Linked DNA regions of Bombyx mori. The protein of the gene in region 1 purifies or fractionates together with the protein of each later gene. This does not show direct contact. Links are inferred from orthologs where the notes say so. Each region holds a gene or a part of one and is shown on either strand. Other genes may lie near its edges. The genes, in order: protein bunched, class 2/F/G isoform; nuclear receptor-binding protein homolog.

Region 1 (10,439 bases):
TTTGTGTACAAAAAAAAATCATTGTTATTTAATTTGTAAACTTTTTTAAAAATGTTGTCTAATAAATAAATAAACACATAATTATAGTTGCTACCCCTTGAGGGCCTAAACGTTGAGCCATTACAGTAATTAAGTTTAACATTAGAATGTGTGGGGTTATTTTAGTTTACAGTAATTACTGTAGATTTTCTTAGAAAGTTCAAGGTCTAGTGATTACCATACCCCATAAATATTAATATGTGAATGCAGCCAAATACCTTAAGAAACATGGTCTAAGAATCAGTTTTGTTTAGGTTTTAATTTAATTATCTTTAGATATAAAGGAGTGTGCTCCGAGTTATTATTTAAGGTGATCCCATCATCGCACAATCTGCCACCAGAGCAGAGTCTATACTACTACAACATTCCTCTATAGTATAGTATGTTCCATTATATTTTTAAGCCACACATCCAATTCTGGAATGAGAACTCCTCTTTATGGTATTTCTTGAGTGTCCTGTTGTGTCTTTGATACAAACATTTGTTTTGAAAATTTAGGTCATAGGCTGTGTGTCACATCTTCATATCTGTAATCAGTATTGCAGGGATCCTATTTCATTAGTTTGGAACACTTCAAAACTCAAGCCAAAAGTTAGCCAGGTTTGGTCCGAGTTGGTTATCAATATCATAACAAAATATGATAGCTTTATTTAACTTTTTCTCTACAGAAAATACTTGATTATCTTATAGTAGTGTATTTTGGTAAAATTAATAACAAAACTTGTTAAGACTATTTTCAAGGTAGGATATTCTCCAGCATAGTGGGGTCTGGAAAAATTAAAAAGCGACAGGAACAAGAATACATAGGAGACCATTAATAACAAATATCTATTAAACTTATTCCAATAAAGTCATGAGTCTGGTTCTTGTAATACAGGAAGGTCACTGACCACAGACAACCTTCAATAAATTATTCAAGATTTCTTTAGCCACCTACCCCCTACCAGAGGAAAATCTTTAAGCTAAGAGATGATGTGATTATTTTTTCCTTGCACTTAAAATTATGGTTTGTATAGTGGTCTTTACATTTGGTCTTCATCTTAAACAGTTACAACTTGAATGACCTTATTTATCTCTAATCTGTACAGGTAACTTGTATCTCTACAAGCCCATATTATGCATTTTAAAAACTACCCAAGTAGTTCAAATTTATTTTTAGATATACCCGTTTATTTTTCAGAATATTTTACTATATTCTAATAAATTTAAACACACTTCAGAAAGTACAAGAAAAACTAAAGACAACACAATTTTATTTTTCCCGTCGAACCATTTACGCTGAGGGCCTCTGATTTCTTTAAATACCACAAACTTATAATTCTATTTGGAATTGAGTTTGAAAATAAAAATTCGCATTATTGTTTATATATGAATAGTTTCTATAAACATAATCTTTTAAATTGACATACCTTTCATCCTCTGTAGGTGGTGCATTCTGGGTTTCCTCTTTACCATCGCCTATATCTCCAGGTTGCATCGCCTCAGCAGAAACATCAGGAGCACCACTTTCACATGCATTCACATTCACATTGCTTACCACCGCACCACTGATCGCATGAGACACTACCGCACTCACAGGGCTGCCAAAGCCCTGACTGTCATGTCCTGGTTGTGTGTTCGTCACATATGCAGTCGAGTTTACTGGTAATGACACTACCGGCGAGTTGGTTCCTGATACAGTTGCCTCTACAGGAGCTACATTGCTTTGAGACATGACTGGCACAACACCTCCGTAACCCAGACCCATGCTTGTCTGCGATGGCACCACATTTGGATGCACTCCGCTGCCCATTCCCACAGGCATGGTAGGCTGCATTGACATTGACATGTTCTGATGTGCCATTGTCACTGACTGATTCGGTACATACTGAACTGCCCCCATCTGACCTTGGCCACCTACTTGTTGTGGTAACATATTCTGTTGGGCCATATGTTGTCCAACAGGTAATTGCTGTCCGACATTCGTAGTTTGCATGAATATAGGATCTGTGGCGGGTATCTGCATACTGGGCTGATTCCCGTCCAGAGTCATCTGCATATTCTGGGGTGGGGCAGACATCATCTGCAAGTTTCCTTGAGGAACATTTCCTTGTTGTGGGGCCATTGGGTGAACATTAGTGGTGGGTTGTTGTCCAGCAAGGCTTTGGAGATTCGCAGGCAAAGTTGTACCTTGGGGTTGAGAAGCCATAGGCTGGAGGTTTGTAGGAAGTGTTGCACCTTGCTGAGAAGTAACAATAGTTGAGAGCACCTCTTGTGGTAAAGTCTGGCCTTGTTGGCTCATTTGCGATTGTTGAGTATGATACTGAGGTACACTGTGTTGTACCATTTGTGGCTGAGATGAAGGCATATTAGGATTGATCATAGACTGTGCAGTGGATTGTTGATTTACAGCTTGGTTATATTGCTGCTGGACAGTTGGCATGCCTTGTTGACTCATCTGAGGATGCATTCCAGGAACAACAGTTTGCTGCTGTTGTGAAGACAGTTGATGCATCTGTGTTTGCATTTGTGGTATTTGCTGGTTAGTATTAGTTAATTGAGTTGGCATTTGCATCTGCTGTATGTGGTTTGGTATTTGTTGACTTTGTAAAGCTTGGATTTGTGCCTGACTTGGCAAATGCTGCAACTGTGCTTGCTGAGTGCCCATAGACTGTTGGCTTTGCAAATGGTGACTCTGACCCATGTTGGTAATCTGGGTTTGTTGCATATGTAATTGTGGATTTGGTTGGCCTTGCATTTGTTGCATTTGCATTTGCTGCATCTGAGGTTGCTGAGTAGGAACTTGTGGCATTTGTCCTTGGTTCGTCATAGCCTGCATTTGTGGCATTTGTTGTTGCATCTGCATGTTAGGAATCTGTGCTTGTGGGATATGCTGACCCATTTGCTGCATTTGTTGATTTGGCATTTGCTGCATCTGTTGTGGCATTTGTTGATGCATAGGTATTTGTTGCATAGTTATGCCCTGTGTCTGAGCAATGACTTGCTGCAACTGATGTGGTGGGAAATTTTGTGTGATTTGTTGGACTTGCTGTTGTTGGTTTTGCTGTGGATGCCCCTGCGCTGCATTCTGCATTGTTATGTGAGTCATGCTTTGTGGATGCTGTTGACCTACTTGTTGACTCCCTTGCATATTTTGATTCGATATCTGTTGTGGCATTTCTAATGGTGGAGACTGAACAGTAATCGGCTGTGACACGGGCATTTGTTGTTGTACTACATTTATTGGTTGAGTTAGTGACTGTCCCGGAGAGGCCATGGGGAACTGTTTTTGAAGAGCTTGCTCTAATTGCTGAACTGTAGGAGCATTTCCTTGGAGATCTGACATATTAGGGCATTTATTTGATAGATCATTAGGCACTTCATCATGCTGACTATCATTTATCACCACACCACTATCGGGAGCTTGCAATGTATTGGTTTCAGTTACATCTTGATTGTTATTTAATGTGATGGGTGCATTTTGCTGGGATGTACTATGATCAAGATAGTCCATGCATATCCATCGACCTCTTCTAAACGGCTCGGTACTTTCAATTTTAACAACTTTGAAACGTTCATTTCTGACATGTTCTTGAATTTCTTTCATACCTTCTTGAGGTTTAGCATTTCCTATGAGATTAATAATGCTACCAGCACTTGCGTTAGTGACACTGACGTGCATATCATTCGCTTCTGTGTTATTACTATTTGGCACTGAACTTCCTATCTGATTGTTGGCGTTGTCCTGGCCGACTATCGCGAGTCCGTATTGAGAGCTGGTCGGTATAACAGGTGCGCAGCCTAGAGATGTGCTGGACGCGTTGTAGAACACGTCGTCTTTAGAAAATGTATCTTCCGAGAAACTTGGTGTTTCATTCTCTATATCAGTCACCCGTGATATGTCGTCGGTGTGAGATTCATCTAGATCATCAGCGGAGTCTTCGCCTGCATCTGTGCTCACTCGGGAGCCGAGCGTCACACTGGTGATCTGAAACGAAGATATTTTCCTTGGGTTATGGGCGGCTTGCAGACTTGTGGGGTGAGTCACTCCCTTCTCCGACTCGTTCAGCCGAAGAGATTCACTCGTTGTACGATGTATGACGTTGTTATACTTGTTTTTTTCACTAGTTTTATGTGACTTTTGAATCAGATTGTCAGCCATTATGCCGTCCGAACCGAATGACTATCTAAAGAAAATTTCACTGTCTATTGGCTTCAGAGACATTTGATTTACTTTACAATCACATCAATATATGTGGTATAAAATCATTGTACACTCACAATTTCACAAACACAGTAATTTAACTATGTAGGTCTTCAAAACTCATTAGTAAACACATACAGTTGCGAACATCTTTCAGACGGCAGCAACATGGCGGCCATTTATGCGCAATGCACTATGGTTGACAATTTGCAGTCGACTATAGACAAGATAGAGTAACTGACAAAAGCTTACTAAAAATAACACTAGATGGAGACAAAATACAAATGTCTGCTAGAAGGCGCTTACTGGAAAATAAAATTTTCTTAGTTTTTTTTATTAACAACTTTAAAAAGTAGTTACATTAAATAGTCACTTTAAAAGAGTTACTTAATATACTTTAAAAAAATGCTACAAATCATCAATAATTTGATTACTACCTAGTGTGATTTGTTTCTAATCGTATAATTTAGACATTTTATTAATCGCGTATGGACCTTAAAGCAAAGGTATGTTCCACCTCAGGTGCAGCTTAAAGCATAATTAAGCACTCAAATATATTAAGTGTATAATCTATGATTAAGCAAAAATAAAATTACAAATCTTCTTAAGACTGCATAAGTGTACCTATTCGACACAAGATGTCGCGCAACTACAACAAATTAATTAAATTGTGTCTTTGATGCTAAAAAAATGTAATAATAATAATAACTACCGAATATTTTGTTAATATATTTTGGCTTCAAGGAAATAACTATAAATCAATACAATATTTTTTCGATTTAATGTGTGGAAAAGTTTCTTTCGTTTTTGTTTTCAGGTTGAGTATTTAATAATGGATACTTGTTCTAATAAAAATAATAGTGAAACTGTTTTTTTACAACGAGTAATCCATTTCAATTGGGACGCAATCGAAAGTCAAGTCCTTGCCATCGTAACAAATTCGTATCCAGAAATCGGTACCATACATATTGTGTGGAGAATCGCGTTAGGTAAGCGTTTTTATTTTTTTTATTGCCTAGATGTGTGGACGAGCTCACAGCCCACCTGGTGTTAAGTGGTTACTGGAACCCATAGACATCTACAACGTAAATGCGCCAAACTTACTTTACTGGTGGTAGGACCTCTTGTGAGTCCGTGCGGGTAGATACCACCACCCCGGGTGGTGGTCTCAAGGTGGGTGGCGCATTTGCATTGTAGATGTCTATGGGCTCCAGTAACCACTTAACACCAGGTGGGCTGTGAGCTCGTGCACCCATCTAAGCAATAAAAAAAAAACACATCTTGAGATAGAAGTTCTAAGGTCTCGAGTATAGTTACATCGGCTGCCCCACCCTTCAAACCGAAACGCATTACTGCTTCACGGCAGAAATAGGCGGGGCGGTGGTACCTACCCGTGCGGACTCACAAAAGGTCCTACCACCAGTAAAAACAGGTGTACCCCACATTTCTCCTTGGATAATGACGCTAGAGAAAATATTTTCTACCATATTACCTGTTTCATATGCGGTTGTTCCGCTTTTGTTATAATGTGAAAATCAGTCCCAATATTAACGTGGTTATAGCTTAAAAGATTACGGTCGGCGTACTCTTGTTTCTAGTAAAGCGATAATACTGGGGTTCAATTACCGCAGGCAGGTGCCAATTTCTTATATACGTGTTCACGAACTACTTACACGATGATGGTACGTCGTGTACTAATAATCAAACCCGCAAAAGCTATGCGTAATTACTGTTGGTGAGCCAATAAGGATATATCTGCATCCCTACGTGCCCTCGTATAGGAAGCAATCTTTTGTTGTGCAGTATGAAGAGTAGCAGAGCCGCTGTGTCAACGTAATAGTTACCTGCTTTGAATCATATGGGACGTGAAGTAACCTGCTTATATATATATGTCTTATCTACTTATTTCTAGATTACTACATTAGAAGGAATCTGTCACAAAATATATTTTTTATTGTGGACGGGTTCACGGCCCATCTGATGTTAAGTGGTTACCGGAGCCCATAGACATCTACAACGTAAATGCCGCCACCTACCTTGAGATAAGAGTTCTAAGGCCAATCGTGAACATTTGGTACGTATTTTATTGGAACATTTGGTACCTGCCTGCGGGATTCGAACACCGGTGCATCGCAAGATACGAATGAACCGTCTTATCCTTTAGGCTACGGCGACTTCAGAATTACAAAAAACACTTTAATGAGTTTACATGTTACACTGTATTATATTTATACAGAATAGTGCAAACGTTAAGAAAATATGACTAAACTTACATTAACGCAGAGTTGTTGCGATTATCCGCACCTTCGAATAAAACTAAAGGCGCAGATCATGAAGCGCCCAGGCCGACCCCAAACTATTACCGGCAAGGTCTTCGGATGGTCAGCCGATTTACTCAACATCCCCACCAATCGCCGTGACACTTCTTAAACGAAGGTAATTTGCTATTATTTGTAAATTGGCTTACAGAGCGACGTCCGCCGCGAACCGTCCGCGCCACAGTCGTTCTAGAGCACGGGACCCCCCTGGCTCCTCGTGGATTCCGATCGCTCGATAGCTAGCTCTTTTCACTGAGAAATCGGACTTAAGTAAACAATCGTCACGTCGCACCACCGACGGTCGCAGCCAACGATCCCGGCCGCAGTCGATAAGATACAGCCCGAGTACTAACATACGCGTCTTGAAAATGTGAATGTGAGTGCTTCGGATATGGCCAAGTCGATCGAAGACAAGAAAACTAGTGAAGATAATACCAACATGGACGGGTACAGCGACGAGGAACTCGGCCGCATCGGGAGGTTCATGGTCTGGATGCGCATCAATCCGAACTTAATTATGTTAAAAGTGACTCTTTTTGTGATGTACGGAGCTACTGCTTCTCTTCTACCTTATTTAACGATTCACATGCAGAGTATAGGTTTGACTGTTCCTGAAATATCTTTTGTTTATCTAGCTTTACCGTTTACGACATTTCTTAGTCCTCCGATAACTGGTGAGTTCCGGTCTAGTATTGAAAAAAAAAACTCGATGCTAATTTCAAAATTTAAATTAATTTGATATCGATATTATTCTAGGATTTTTGGTGGATCGGTTTGGGGAGTATAAGCCTGTTGTGATAACGGCTCTTATTTTGAACGCCGCATTCCATCATTCTTTACTTCTGATACCTCACCAGGAGACGCCTGGTGTTATGCCATCGGCATACGTAATGAGACACCCGATCACGAACAGTGTAGAGGTATTAATTTAAATTTGATTACTAATAAACGATAAACAAAAGTTAAACTGGCTTCGTACGTATGTATGTACCGTAGAATTTGAGCAAATCGACGTCATCCGGTTTTTGAGCGAATTAACTGGCAGTGTCTTGTGATCCGCTGTATTTGAATTAGTTAAGGGAATTAAGCGAAATTTATGCACGCTGGACTTTACCCTTGATTGTTGTTATCGTCCATCCGTTTATTTTGATCCTTAATGGCTGTGACCTGAACTCAAACAATCATGTCTGCAGTTCGTTGATGGAAATAAATTACTTCTCGAACACCCCTCCCAAGACATCGTTATTTATATCTAGGGCTTAAACGTTTATTGCTAGCACGTATAACACAAGGTTATGTGCGCATGCACTCAACAATGTATTAACAATCAAATTGAAACACGCTTATAGAGAGTTTATAAGTAATTTTGATCGTAAATCTTAATGCTAATTTAAGATCTGGTGGAGCCCTTGTCCGAGCAGAGAGTGTCCTGATGAAGATGAAACCGTTGATTTTGTACTGGACCGTTGCGTAGATCACTGTCAATTGTTTAAGCCTCCAGAGAGTCCTTTCACGAAACCTTCGGGAGACGATGAAAACGATGACCTTGACTTTCATATCAGCCACAAGATCCAACCACCGAACTTATCCAACAGCAGGTAATGTGAGACGTGCAATCTTTCGTATGATTAAAAATACGAAAATAAAGTGGCGTTTAATCATAATGAATGTGTTAAATTACATTTTCTTTGTTACGCCTTTCAAAACAATGATAAGACAAAAATCTTATAATACTAAACAAACTTAAATCACAATAAGAGTATATAAGCCTTCCGAGCTCTTTATTTAAAATTTACATCGTAAAATCATTTTCCTTAGTATATCAACAAAATACTACTACTCTAAGAACTCGTAACTAAAACTAGCTACGACGTTGTATAGATACAAGATATAAAGAATTTAAATCAATTGTCACCAAAAACATGACATCGTATAGTACTTTTTTTAAACAATCCTATAACACTTGCGACAAAAGGGACATGTAGGATCAATAAATAGTTTAAAAAAAACATATTTTTGTAAATAAATTTTAACAAAAACGAATCGTAGAAGTCTCAGTAGAAGTGTCCAGACAGATTTGTTAATGAAATCAACTAATTCAGATTCTGCTGGTTCTTGTATCGTGGACAACGCCCGTGGAGTTCGTCCATCCGTTTACGGTATAAAAAAAAACGTCTTTTTTGGGTGTCCTTATCAAAGAATAAAATACTATCTTGCGGATGTAGAATGTTGAAACTTTTTACTAAATATAGTAATAAATAGCTACCTACCTACTGTAACAGTCCTTTGTAAACAGTCACTAAATATCAATACTATATCACTGTTTACAAACTATATCCTATCTCCTTACACTGTCTTTTATGAAGAGTAATCTAAAGTCAACTTTTCAACGTTTAGCGTTCTTGCTGAGATACTTTTACTTTAGTGTAAATCATATTTTTCGTTGCAGCCTTTTGAATTTGACTGATAGCGATGAAGATTACAATGATGCTGCATTCTTCTTGATAGAAGTACACGATGATTTAGGTGAACCAAAAGAGCAGCTAGGGATCGAAATGGAAAGAGTGAGTACAAAATAATAATAGCCTTTATTCAAACGCAATAGTATATTTACAATAACAAATTTAGGTTAACGACTCTGTTGAGTAGATGATATCGGCAACTTCGTCTGTTTGCCCAACATTGGCAAAGGCCTCCTCCATTTCCTTCCAACCTCCTCGGTTTAGAGCAGGGGTTCCCAAACTTATTTTGTCCACTGCCCACTTTGAGAATAAATTATTTTTTAGCGCCCCTATTTTATCACCTACTAAAAGACCACTATAGCGAGAGCTCAGTCGGTATCTAAGAGTCCTCCTAGATAAAATTCCAAATCGCCTCCCAAGCTTTTACACAGTGCCCCAATTTTTTTCTGGGTCTCTTACTGCCCCCTTTAGGCCTGCAGCGCCCACAAGGGGGCGTTATCGCCCACTTTGAGAAAGGCTGGCTTAGAGCTTTCCTTGTCCTGCTAATTTTCCTGCTATCGTCTTTATTTCATCTTCCCATCTCCGAATCTGTCTGTTGGAAAAGTGAGTATATAATCAATGTTAAATAGACGTACACACATAATATTATTACCATCAATTTAACTGCATCGATTTCTTCTAGGACGAGGATGATCAAGTAACGGATTTTCGATCGAGATTTGGCGAGAAGCTTCTGATAACTCAAGGCGTGAATATAACTGCGCTCGACAAGGAAGACCTCAGATGTGGAGGTCTTGTCATGTTACACAACATGACGAAGCTTTCACAGCAAAGGCTGGAGATACTGTCTGCAGATTGCATGGTCCAAAAATGTGATTTTAGGTACAATTCTTTTATAACATTGTATTATTAATTCTAGTAACCTTAATTTCATTGTTAAGTCGTTGTGGCTTACAGAGTATTGCGCTCTGTGAACTTGTATCGAGCAATGCGACTGTGCTGGTGCTCATATCCCGCAGGTACTAATATTATATGTATCAAATGAAATAGGTACATAGCACACGTTCACAAATGAATTCTACGATGAAGGAATAACATCGTGCAATAAAATTCAAACCTGCTAATGTAATTTAGAGGCAGTCAGCGCAAAAGTGTCCTTAGCTGATCACAGTTATATTATACAGTACTGCTAATGTATAAGTAGGTAGCGGCTTGGCTCTGCCCCTGGCATTGAAGTCCTTGGCGACGGTAACCACTCACCATCAGGTGGGCCATATGCTCGTCTGCCTACAAAGGCAATAAAAAAATAATTAAAAAGTTAGTATTGTGATAATCAGCTTGGGATTTACTTTTACATTGCTTCGTAGGCAAAAACAATACGCGCAAAAATAATGTTTACAAAGCCATCTGTTTCTCTATGGTTGAGACTAGGGATAG
Region 2 (10,339 bases), on another chromosome or scaffold:
AGTTTATGAAAGGTTTTTACTGCAGGTTTTTTTTCGCTGTTCAAAAAGCGAGTTAATTTGTCGCGGAACAAATAAATATTTCAACAATTATTACTTGTTCATATTAATATTTCAACAATTATTACTATTCTACTTGTTAAATTTGAATCTCAGAGTATGTTTTCATTGGGTAATCTCTTTTTTTTATTATTATTATTGTATTCCATCTTCGAGCCGATGAATTGCCAATGTTATGTACGCCATTATTGTCACATGCAACAGGCCATAAATTAAATAGTTTAAGTTATTTTCAATGTTAAACGTTTGTGATGTGGCAGTACCTTTTTAAATAAATAAATGAACAACCCTTTATTCATTTATGGGAACGAAGCAATCATATTTTCCTTTCCGCATTCGCTATTTCGATTGCTAATCTCTAACACTTCTCCATTACGTTCGTTGAAAGTCATTGCACTTAATAATATTCGCTTTGTAAACATTAATTTCAATTGTTCGACAGCACCTGTTGCTTTTAAACCAAAACATCGTAACAATAATATACTTGTAGTTTTTCCGTTTATTGCCGACTGAATCATACGTTCGGTCCTATGAAGTCGGTTGTTAACTGGTCTACCTAATTACTCTGAAAGCTATCGACCAAGCTCACGACTTTCGGTATCTAATCTATTATCTTAGGTAAAATAAGAAAGCACAAAATGTAAAAAGCACGGAATGGGATCGAACCTTGTATTTCACTGCCCGAACAAACATCCAGCACAGAATAACTGTTTGCCTTCTGGCTTTACAGTCCCTCTTTCGAAGAATTTCAAGAAACCAACGATGATGAAATAGATGGTAGATTAATATAAACTACACACCTAACCTGCCAGAATGGACAAACCCTATACCTATCAACACCTATGAAATATAATGATTAGTTACAAGAAAATTTCAAACAACATTAACGATTTAATATCAACATGCACTACGCAAACAATGCAACACAATTATTATTGGACCTTGCAACCGGCACTTATCGTCCGTTGCACTCGGCTCTGCATTATAAACGTTTCTCTATCAATTCGAACAATTATAATAATACGTTTCAATTATACAAACGATTGTTTTGGTTACATTCGAATAATAGCTATTGTATACTTCGAATGGAACTACCCTACCCGACTTACTCTAAATCCAATAAGATTTTTATTCAAAGAACGTCTTTCACAGCTCACTACTTCACACCGTAGCTGTACTATTTTACAGCTTTCCACACACTATTTTCTTACGTTTATCTAACTAAGTAGCACACGCTGGTAAAGCAGCCAATGATGTAGTAACGAACGCTTAGTCTAAGATCAAGTTTCTTTAATTATCTTCTTCTTGCCTTTATACCACATTATATGGGGTCGGCGCCGCATGTCCTGTTATCATGCTGCATAGGCACCTGACACCTTACGACCGGCTGCCTTCAATGCAACGTGTCTTTGCAAGGTCCTAGAGGGACCTTTTCTGTTTCTTCTTCTGGTGTTTCTTTTACTTCATCCGTTTATGGTTCTATAACTTGCATCTTATTATTATAAATTGTTACACTAAAATTTAGATTTTCAAATACCAAAACGATGGTCGTCAGTAGTAGTCGTGTCCTAAAGAATAAGACGTCCGGTGCATTCGTACCTAGTTCATCCATACTACCTTGCCTAAAAACAGTGCCTTCATCCACGGTGTGTTTTCAGAGAACTTTTCTGCCCCTTCTTATCCTCCTGCTTTGGAATGAACTTCTCTCCTCGGTTTTTCCTGAGCCTTCCTGAATGGGTAGGCAACGCATTGGTTGTGTCCCAAACATTGTTGACGTCCATGTGCCACGGTACCCACTCTCTATCAAGTGGGCCGTATGCTCGTCAGTTTACAAAATTCAATAAGAATATGTCTACGATTCGCAATAACCGCAGATCATAATATCACAAATCACGTTAACAAGTCAAGTTTTCAATGCGTTATCAATTGCGGACGGCGCGGCGTGGAATATTCTCATACATTGCGCAGGAGTTTCAATTGGATGATTGGTCATACAGAAAGGATGACCGGTAATTTGACCATGTATGTACATAATGTAACGTGATTGTTCGCTTTCAACGACGCAATGATTTCGTTTCATTCAATGTTGTATTACAATGTAAGGATGGTATCTTTAGCCGAAGTCAGATCAGGATATCTATCCATCTCCATACATTTAGATTTAGAACCCTAATAATTTTTTCACATACATTCAATTTTTTTTGTAAATCTACCCCATACACTTTTGTGTGTGGCATGTTGACATAGCTGCCCATAGACACGAGAAAGCGGATGCCGCCGTCTACAGACATGCCCTAGTGATTACATGTTTGTGTAATGTAATAACATCTTCAGAAAAAAGTACCTTTTATTATCGCTTCTGTGATTCAGATATACCATTAATTAGAGCGATCATAAGGGACTTCAATATCAATTAATAATGAAATCGAGCTTGCTGCCATTTTTACAGTATCTTAATATAAATTTATTACTATTTCAGGTTGAACAACGCGATGTGCCCGGTATTGACTGCGCCAACCTTGCGATGGACACCGAAGAGGGCGTGGAAGTCGTGTGGAATGAAGTCCAGTTCTCCGAGCGGAAGAACTTCAAAGCTCAGGAAGATAAGATACAGACGGTGTTCGACAACCTGACCAGGCTTGAACACCCTAACATCGTCAAGTTCCATCGATACTGGACTGACACGCATAACGACAAACCCAGGGTATGCATTTCAATTTTACTCGCTATTCTTAATGGACCGTTTCTCAATTATATATTTATGCTACATTGTGATATAATTATAAGGTAATGCCCCCAACGACAGAATGCAGCTTAACACACATTTCTTAAAAGATATGAAGGGACCGTATGAAATACACGAACAGTCGAAACCTTTCGGATTTAGCGAGCTCTAGCAGTCAATTAACAATTTTAGGGTTTGTGTATCTCTACATCGCCTTTTACGATACCCACGGTAAGCTACCACCACAACCACCCCAAAGGCCAATATCCTAGGCCAATGCCAAACAGCTGTAGCAGTATGAAAATATTAAGGGAAGAAATAACATATAGGCAAAAATCGGAAAAGTCGACTAATTGATATCCATTGATTATTTCAGGTAATTTTCATTACTGAGTACATGTCGTGCGGCTCATTGAAGCAGTTTCTGAAGAGAACGAAGCGCAACGTGAAGAGGCTGCCCCTCCAGGCGTGGAAGCGATGGTGCACACAGATACTATCTGCATTAAGGTACAAGTTCGTTTGGGCTTACTTGAAATATCTCGTTTTCATAACTCACGTATTTCATTCGTTGAAATTCGATTTTCAGTTATCTCCACGGCTGTGTTCCGCCGATCGTCCACGGAAACCTGACCTGCGACACCATTTTCATCCAGCATAACGGCCTGGTGAAGATCGGCTCTGTAGCGCCCGACGCAATTCACCACCACGTCAAGACCTGCCGCGAAAATATGAAGAACATGCACTTTATCGCCCCAGAATATGGATGTAAGTACAGCGATAAGCTGCCATTCTAGCACCGAGACTACAAAGTTTCCTTTGCTTTGGTTTTGAGCTTTTTGCTTCTTTCAACTCTGCGGATTTAATCAAACGAGGCAAAACGCAAACACCACAGCAACGGAAACTCTGTGGTCAGATATTCATTTCACGTTTATTTCCCCTTGAATTAGCATCTCAAATGGTGACGCCAGCAATGGATATCTACTCGTTCGGAATGTGCGCTCTGGAAACCGCAGCCCTCGAAATCCAAGGAAATGGAGACTCTGGCAGCCACGTCACGGAGGAACACATCATACGGACGGTCGAATCGTTGGAGGATCCCAGACAGAAGGACTTTATATACAGGTATATTAGCTTCTCTGTGTTCTTGTTCGCAGGTTCCGTGTAAACGGTAAGTCAGGATTCTCTCTGCTCTTCGGTGAACTGATGGCGTGTTCTGGTGTTGATATGTCTGGGTCTTGTGTTCGCAGGTGTATAAACCAGCATCCCGAGAAGAGGCCGACGGCGAGAGAGCTGCTCTTCCATCCACTGCTGTTTGAAGTCCATTCCTTAAAACTGCTGGCGGCCCACACGCTGGTTAATACAACCGGTAAGGATTTCTGCTCTGACTGGCGTAGCAAAATCAGAATCGAGATATTTCAATGTTTTTTTTTTTTTCATTTCAGCTAATATCTCCGAAACTATAACTGACGAAGTGACCGGCGGCAGCAGCGGCGAGGCGCTGGCGTGGTGCGTGCGCGGCGGGGAGCGCGTCGAGATCGCGGCCAAGGACCTCCAGCCGCACGCTGAAAAACTAGAGAAATTTGTCGAAGACGTCAAGTAAGTGACTTTAGAAAAATGATTGTGCGAGGTTCGGACGGACGCCAACCGCCACCTCCGCGCCCGTATTTATACTTTCAATTTGTGAACTCAAACTTTCTTTTTTCAACTCAAACGATATTTTTGCGTTTCTTTAGCTGTGTGATTTTTTTAATTTGTTTTGTTTGACTCTCAGTGCAAGTAAAATAATTGCTTTAGTTAGAACATGAATGTTTCTAAAGTAGACTAACAGAAATGGCACTAGTAAAACAGAGCATGAGTCGATCGTCCGGTCCCCAGGTACGGCATCTACCCGCTGACGGCGTACGGGTCGGGGGCGGGGGGCCGCGCCTCGTCCCCCGAGCGCGCCCCCGCCCCCGCCGCCTCGCCCCCCCCGCGCGACACCGAGTCCCGCCGCGTCGTGCACATGATGTGCAACGTGGCGCCGCCGCCGCGACACAGCGACGCGCCCGACCACGACCTGCTGGTACGTACGCAGCGTCGGGACTGTCCAGTCTACACATGAGCCACTTGCTTTGTAATCACCGCCGCTCAGTATGCGACTTCACTAAACGCACAGTACGCGGCCCGTCCGTTGCAGATGACCATCATCCTGCGCATGGACGACAAGATGAACCGGCAGCTGACGTGCGCCGTGTCGCGCCGGGACTCCGCGTCGCACCTCGCGCGCGAGCTGGTGCAGCTCGGCTTCATCCACGAGGTCAGCCCGCCTCCCTCGGCGCCAGTCGGTAGGCACATGCGCTCGGTGACTCACTGTTGAACTCTGCACAGGCGGACCGCGACAAGATCTGCCGGATCATGGAGGAGTCCCTCCGCGCCAGTTTCCCCCCGGCGGCGGAGCCCCCCGTGGCGGCCCCCCCGGCGGCGGCGGCCCGCGCGCCTCAGCACGTGGCCAGCTAGTGCGGCGCCCCCCCGCCCGCGCGTCCCCCCCTCGCCTCGCGCGCAGCTCCGCGCGGCGGTCGGTCGTCGGAGGTGTGTTTTGTTTATTGCAAAAATCTCTTACGATTTTTACTGGCTCTTTGTAATGTAAATCTAGAGTTCGCAGCGTAGCCTCGGGTATCTGTAGTGTACTTTATGTATGTATCTAAAATCGTATGTAAATTTTTGTATCAAACACGGTTTGTAAATTAGTGTATGAAACCAAATTCGATAAATAATGTGATGTTGAGCTATCAGCGAGCGAGCCGCGCCCGTGGACAGCTGCTGTTGTCTCTCGGCTCAGTGCAGCACCTCCAACTCAAACTATACCCTAAATTACCCGTCCACTAAAATTTTCAGTTTCGTTTTATTACTTTATATGTGTGCGCTGAATATTTTCCAATATTGTCCTTTTTAAGTTGAATTATGTAACATAAATATGTAACGCGTGTGTGCTCACGAGCGCTCACGGTTTTCCATCTACAAGCAATGAAAACAAAACGCTGCAACAAGGTTGTGTGTAACGAGCAAAATAAAGAATTAAGAAAATTTCAGCAAAATTACCACTTGCAAAGAGCCCACTTGGCCGCATCACGCGTGAACATCCGTGATCATCCGTGACCATTCGTGAGCATACTTGAACAAACAGGCGCAAGTATGATGCGTGCTCTACTCGATATCCAAACGTCTTATCGATTTTAGAACATCTAGTTGTTTATGTCGTTATGTGTAATGATAGACGGCTACGGCTGCGGTGAGCCGGCGCGGTCCTGCGCGCACTGCGGACTGCGCGAGGCACAGCTCGGCCTCGCGATCGAACCAGCGGGTCTAGCAGCCGGATTAGAAACAAATCAATTAAATAAATTGAGCGCTATTATCAAAAATGTATTTTAAAATGTTAGCAAAGTAATCAAGTCAGCCTCGGGTCGGGGACTCGACCGGCGGAGGTTCGGTATTAGACGAGTATTTGTCCGATTTTTGTTTAGATTCATGTGAATACCGATGTACATGAAAATAAGCCTGCACTGATTAATAAATTTTATGAAATGAAAACTAAAACGTTATGTGTTGTAAAGAACCTTTCCTTATTTCAAATTGATGGACCTCTCGTGGTTTGCTCAGGCCCCCGCGCCGGTCCCCTCGTCGGCCCCCTCCGCCGGAATAATCAAATTGCTAGTCGAGTGTGAATCTAAAAACCGGACTGACCGAATCGTTAAGGAAAAAAATAGTTGAATATTGAAAATTATTTAATCGACAATGATTCGGCGAAGGTTTATAGTTGTTAGTGTGTACATCGAGAATGCTTTAGTATAGAAACTTTTGTATGAATGTGTAAATGTTACAAAAATGATATTTAATTAATATAATAATATATAAATAAATGTGAAACTTTAAAAAAAAACATTAATCGTAATCTGTATAGTGAGGCTTCCTTTTAGAGCTTTATGGACGTGGTATACGGGAAAATGAACATACTCACTAAGTGTTTAAGGTCGAAATTTATTTGTTTAGCGTTGGTTTTTTAAATGTGCAATAGTTCTCAAACTTCCTCTTTAAATCGGCGCTCACGCACTTGTTGGATACGCCTAGAGTCGTGGTCAATTCTGTGATCGCGAAAACTACTTGAATACGTATTCTCTTGAAGGAAGCATTAGAGTGTGTGTGGAACGATCGTCTCGAGTTTGAAATCTATTGTACTTTTAAGATTCAAAATTATTTTTTTGTAAATTTTTGTACATTTTACAAGTCGGTCAATGTGAGTGCAGTAGGGCACGTAGGCTGCGCCGACGCAGAATTAGTTTATGAACAAGTCAATTTCAATAGAATAATGCCTTTTTTAAATAAAATACTTATTTACAACTGCATTTAAACGATTTAATTGTCGCGATTCCGATCGTCGTGCGTTGCTCGCACGCGGACACGTTTAATGACAGTTATCAAACTTGAGGTTTAATGACAGCTGTCAAACTTGACGTCACTGCGAAGTGTAGCCCGACCGGACCTCGTTGGTGAGTGGCTTCTGCGACCCTCGCAGCAGAGGGTGGACCCCATCACCCTGTTTATTTTCAACAAAAACAGGTTATGGTGTGGTTCTGTGGTAAAGTGCAAGAAGTGGATCGGGCAGCGCCCCCAGTGGCCCACGGACAGCGGTCAGGCGGACACCACTCGCGACGACATTTTGTGCTTTTGTTTTCTTAAGGAAGGCACCTTGTTCCTATTTTTTATTTCGGTGCTGATTGTGAAATATCTTTTTTTTGTTTTTTCTTTGATAGTTGCAATTACACGTTTTAAAATAAATCTCTTGCAAAAAACAGTAACAAAAAATAACGCAGATCTTTATCCAATGTTCGTGTGTTTCGTTGAATGCTAGTGGTGCCAAACTTACAAGGTGCCAATAAAATGTTACGGAATTCTATCACATTACACGCTTCACGATATCAACTGTACACTGTATTTTAGTACCAAAAATAATAAATTGTTTCTTGTCCCTTCCATCTCTACACCGCAGCAACAATAAAGCTGAATATTATCCGAAAAAACAGAATTGTTGGCAAACATTTTGTTATTTGTTCTTATTCGTTGCGTATAGACTCGAACTGCATCTAAAAATATGTACAATTACTTTTCCTCATTTTCTGCTCATTTATTTTTGGTACCTACTTAAAACGAGCGATGTATAGTTAGGGAAGTAACAAAACGTTCGCGTTCTCTTCATAATTTCAAATTGTAAGCTTTTCACGTTTGAAGTCGTGGACACAAATACGTACGTCGTCCGGCGACCTGCGAACTGATTCTTATACTTCATTTACTAGTTTCTAAACCTGCCAACTTCCAGCACTTCCTGCCCGTCGCGTAGATCAGGAGTCGTTACTGAAATTTATGAAAATTGCATTGAATATATATTTTTAAGTACGTTGCTGACCGGCCGACGCACGGCCCTCACACAGACAGCTCGCGTCACGCCGTCGGCCGCTAGTGACGGGCCGCGTCACGCCGTCGGCCGGTAGTGACGGGCCGCGTCATGCTGTCGGCCGGTAGTGACGGGCCGCGTCATGCCGTCGGCCGGTGTAGCGGCACGGCGGTGACTCCGCAGGAGCACGGAGAGCGCGTTTATATGAACTAGAAGCGGTCTTCCATTTCATATAAAACAAGATCTCCCGCGCGGCCGCCGCTGTGTCTGTGCCTGTGTACCGACTTGCTTTTTTTATTTTATTATGAAATTATCTTGAATCTTGCTTATGATTTTAAACTATATATATTTTGCACAAACCTGAAGTTTTGAGATTTTGATTCAATATATTATAATGTTTTTATTATTATTTTTGTTGTTATTCAATCTGCTTTATTATTAATAACCCCACAATATCGTTCTGTTATTAAAATATATCTTTATGTACTGCGTATTACTTTTTTATTTATATTATTTAATTTTAAAATGAACACATTAATGATGAAATTTAGTGAATCTTGTTTTTAAAGTGAAATTGTACCCAGGGTGTTCCCGCGTCGTGTGTCCAAAGAGTGATGTGTTCATGAGTTGGTTTTTCTTTTTTGTTTTCTTATGAGATTGTAACTTTAATGTTATTTAATTGATCCAGAATTGCATTTTTTTTGTTTTTTATTTATTTTCTCGTCTACCATAGATAGGATGTAACCGGAGTATAATTTAGGTATAGTAAAGTATGTTATTATGCTCAAAATGACTTTTAACCTTTTTATTTTCAAGATCGTAATATGATCGGCCGATGTGTGCATACTATTCTAAAATGAGAAAATGTCAATAAAATTGTATTTTGAAAACATAAATATTGCTGTTTTTGTTCCTACGTGATATATGTAGTTGCGTGTTTATATGATTCTGGTGTGTTTTCGTCACGAAATGATTCCAAGTTATCAGCACGTACGAGTCCCATGTGTCGATGTCTGTTTCTGCCGGGGCCACTGGGCCCGCCCGTTATTTACAATTGGGGTCCTGTTTACTATTATGAATGGTGCCCAATGAAACGATTTTTCTTCACAAAAACAATTTTATTTAGTTACATCACACTTCTACATAATATCAGATTACTCATTGAGATTATATTAATGTAATAAGTTTTACAATACGAAATTTAAGTCTAACATTTGCTACCCGAAGTGTTATTAACTACGCTACTCTGCACTTTCATCCTATACTAGCCTTTTATTTTACCAAAAACTATGACAGAACATTTCATACAAACTTTTCACATGCGCTCACATTATTTCTTAAGTACAATATTTTGGAAGTACAGTGTTTACACGGTACAATGTTCCTAAAACAGAGTAAATTTATTTCAAAGTTAAAGGCACACATTTTTGAATAGTTTTTGGTTCCTAAACTGTACATGTCTTTGGCAATATTTTAAAGATAACATTAATTTAAAGATAAACAAAGTAAATATAAAAAATTAAGAAGTGAATCCTGCCGATATTCCGAAAATTAACAATCAGTATTTTACTGATAAATTAAACAACTAGATACATAAACATTGACTGATTTATGTTATGTATTTGAATTTTGAATATGGTTTCACGGTGTGTCTATTTTCTTTACGACATATGTAAACAAAAACCTTTTCATGTAATGTTTACCTCTGTATGTTAACCTTTGAAATTTTTTTGTTTAAAAATAATGTTTTTTCTTTTTTAGATTTATTGAACTTTCTGTCATTGAGAAAAAAGAGGAGTTCAGTTTTACTTAATTCCGTAGTACTGTGTAAATTAATAAATTGTGGAAAATAAAGGCATTAAATGTTATTTTCTTAATAGTGTACAGAAAACGCAATTAAGTATTTTATTATTGTTCAATCATTTTTAGAATTATTTCACATCATTTATAAATTAACTAAAACTGAAATCCTCTTTTTTCTCAACGACAGAGTTCAGTAAATCTATATAAGAAAAATACTTTTTTCAAAACTTATAAGTTCCAAAGATTTTATATAAAAGTTACAAAAAAAGATGTTTCTTTACACATATATGTATATCTAAAATACTTTTTTGATTTTCCCCTTAAACCCA

The links.
Region 2: the proteins of protein bunched, class 2/F/G isoform (region 1) and nuclear receptor-binding protein homolog purify together in Homo sapiens (affinity purification with mass spectrometry; 6 studies listed by BioGRID and IntAct, with this or other methods). This does not show direct contact. The link is inferred for Bombyx mori from reciprocal best matches to the Homo sapiens genes TSC22D1 and NRBP1.

The regions. Positions count from the first base shown.
Region 1 is NC_085111.1:3,743,777-3,754,215, forward strand, and holds the start of protein bunched, class 2/F/G isoform, read right to left. Parts: upstream 4,438-10,439; 5' UTR 4,181-4,437; coding exon 1,449-4,180; intron 1-1,448. Other genes in the region: uncharacterized protein LOC101742662, read left to right, coding at 6,932-7,214, 7,297-7,460, 7,936-8,138, 8,990-9,104, 9,685-9,884. UniProt on the Homo sapiens protein: Transcriptional repressor. Acts on the C-type natriuretic peptide (CNP) promoter. Acts to promote CASP3-mediated apoptosis.
Region 2 is NC_085116.1:672,367-682,705, forward strand, and holds the end of nuclear receptor-binding protein homolog, read left to right. Parts: intron 1-2,536; coding exon 2,537-2,761; intron 2,762-3,158; coding exon 3,159-3,289; intron 3,290-3,368; coding exon 3,369-3,547; intron 3,548-3,729; coding exon 3,730-3,904; intron 3,905-4,029; coding exon 4,030-4,148; intron 4,149-4,224; coding exon 4,225-4,378; intron 4,379-4,657; coding exon 4,658-4,844; intron 4,845-4,958; coding exon 4,959-5,078; intron 5,079-5,149; coding exon 5,150-5,278; 3' UTR 5,279-9,103; downstream 9,104-10,339. UniProt on the Homo sapiens protein: Required for embryonic development. Plays a role in intestinal epithelial cell fate and proliferation, thereby involved in the architectural development of the intestine potentially via the regulation of Wnt-responsive genes.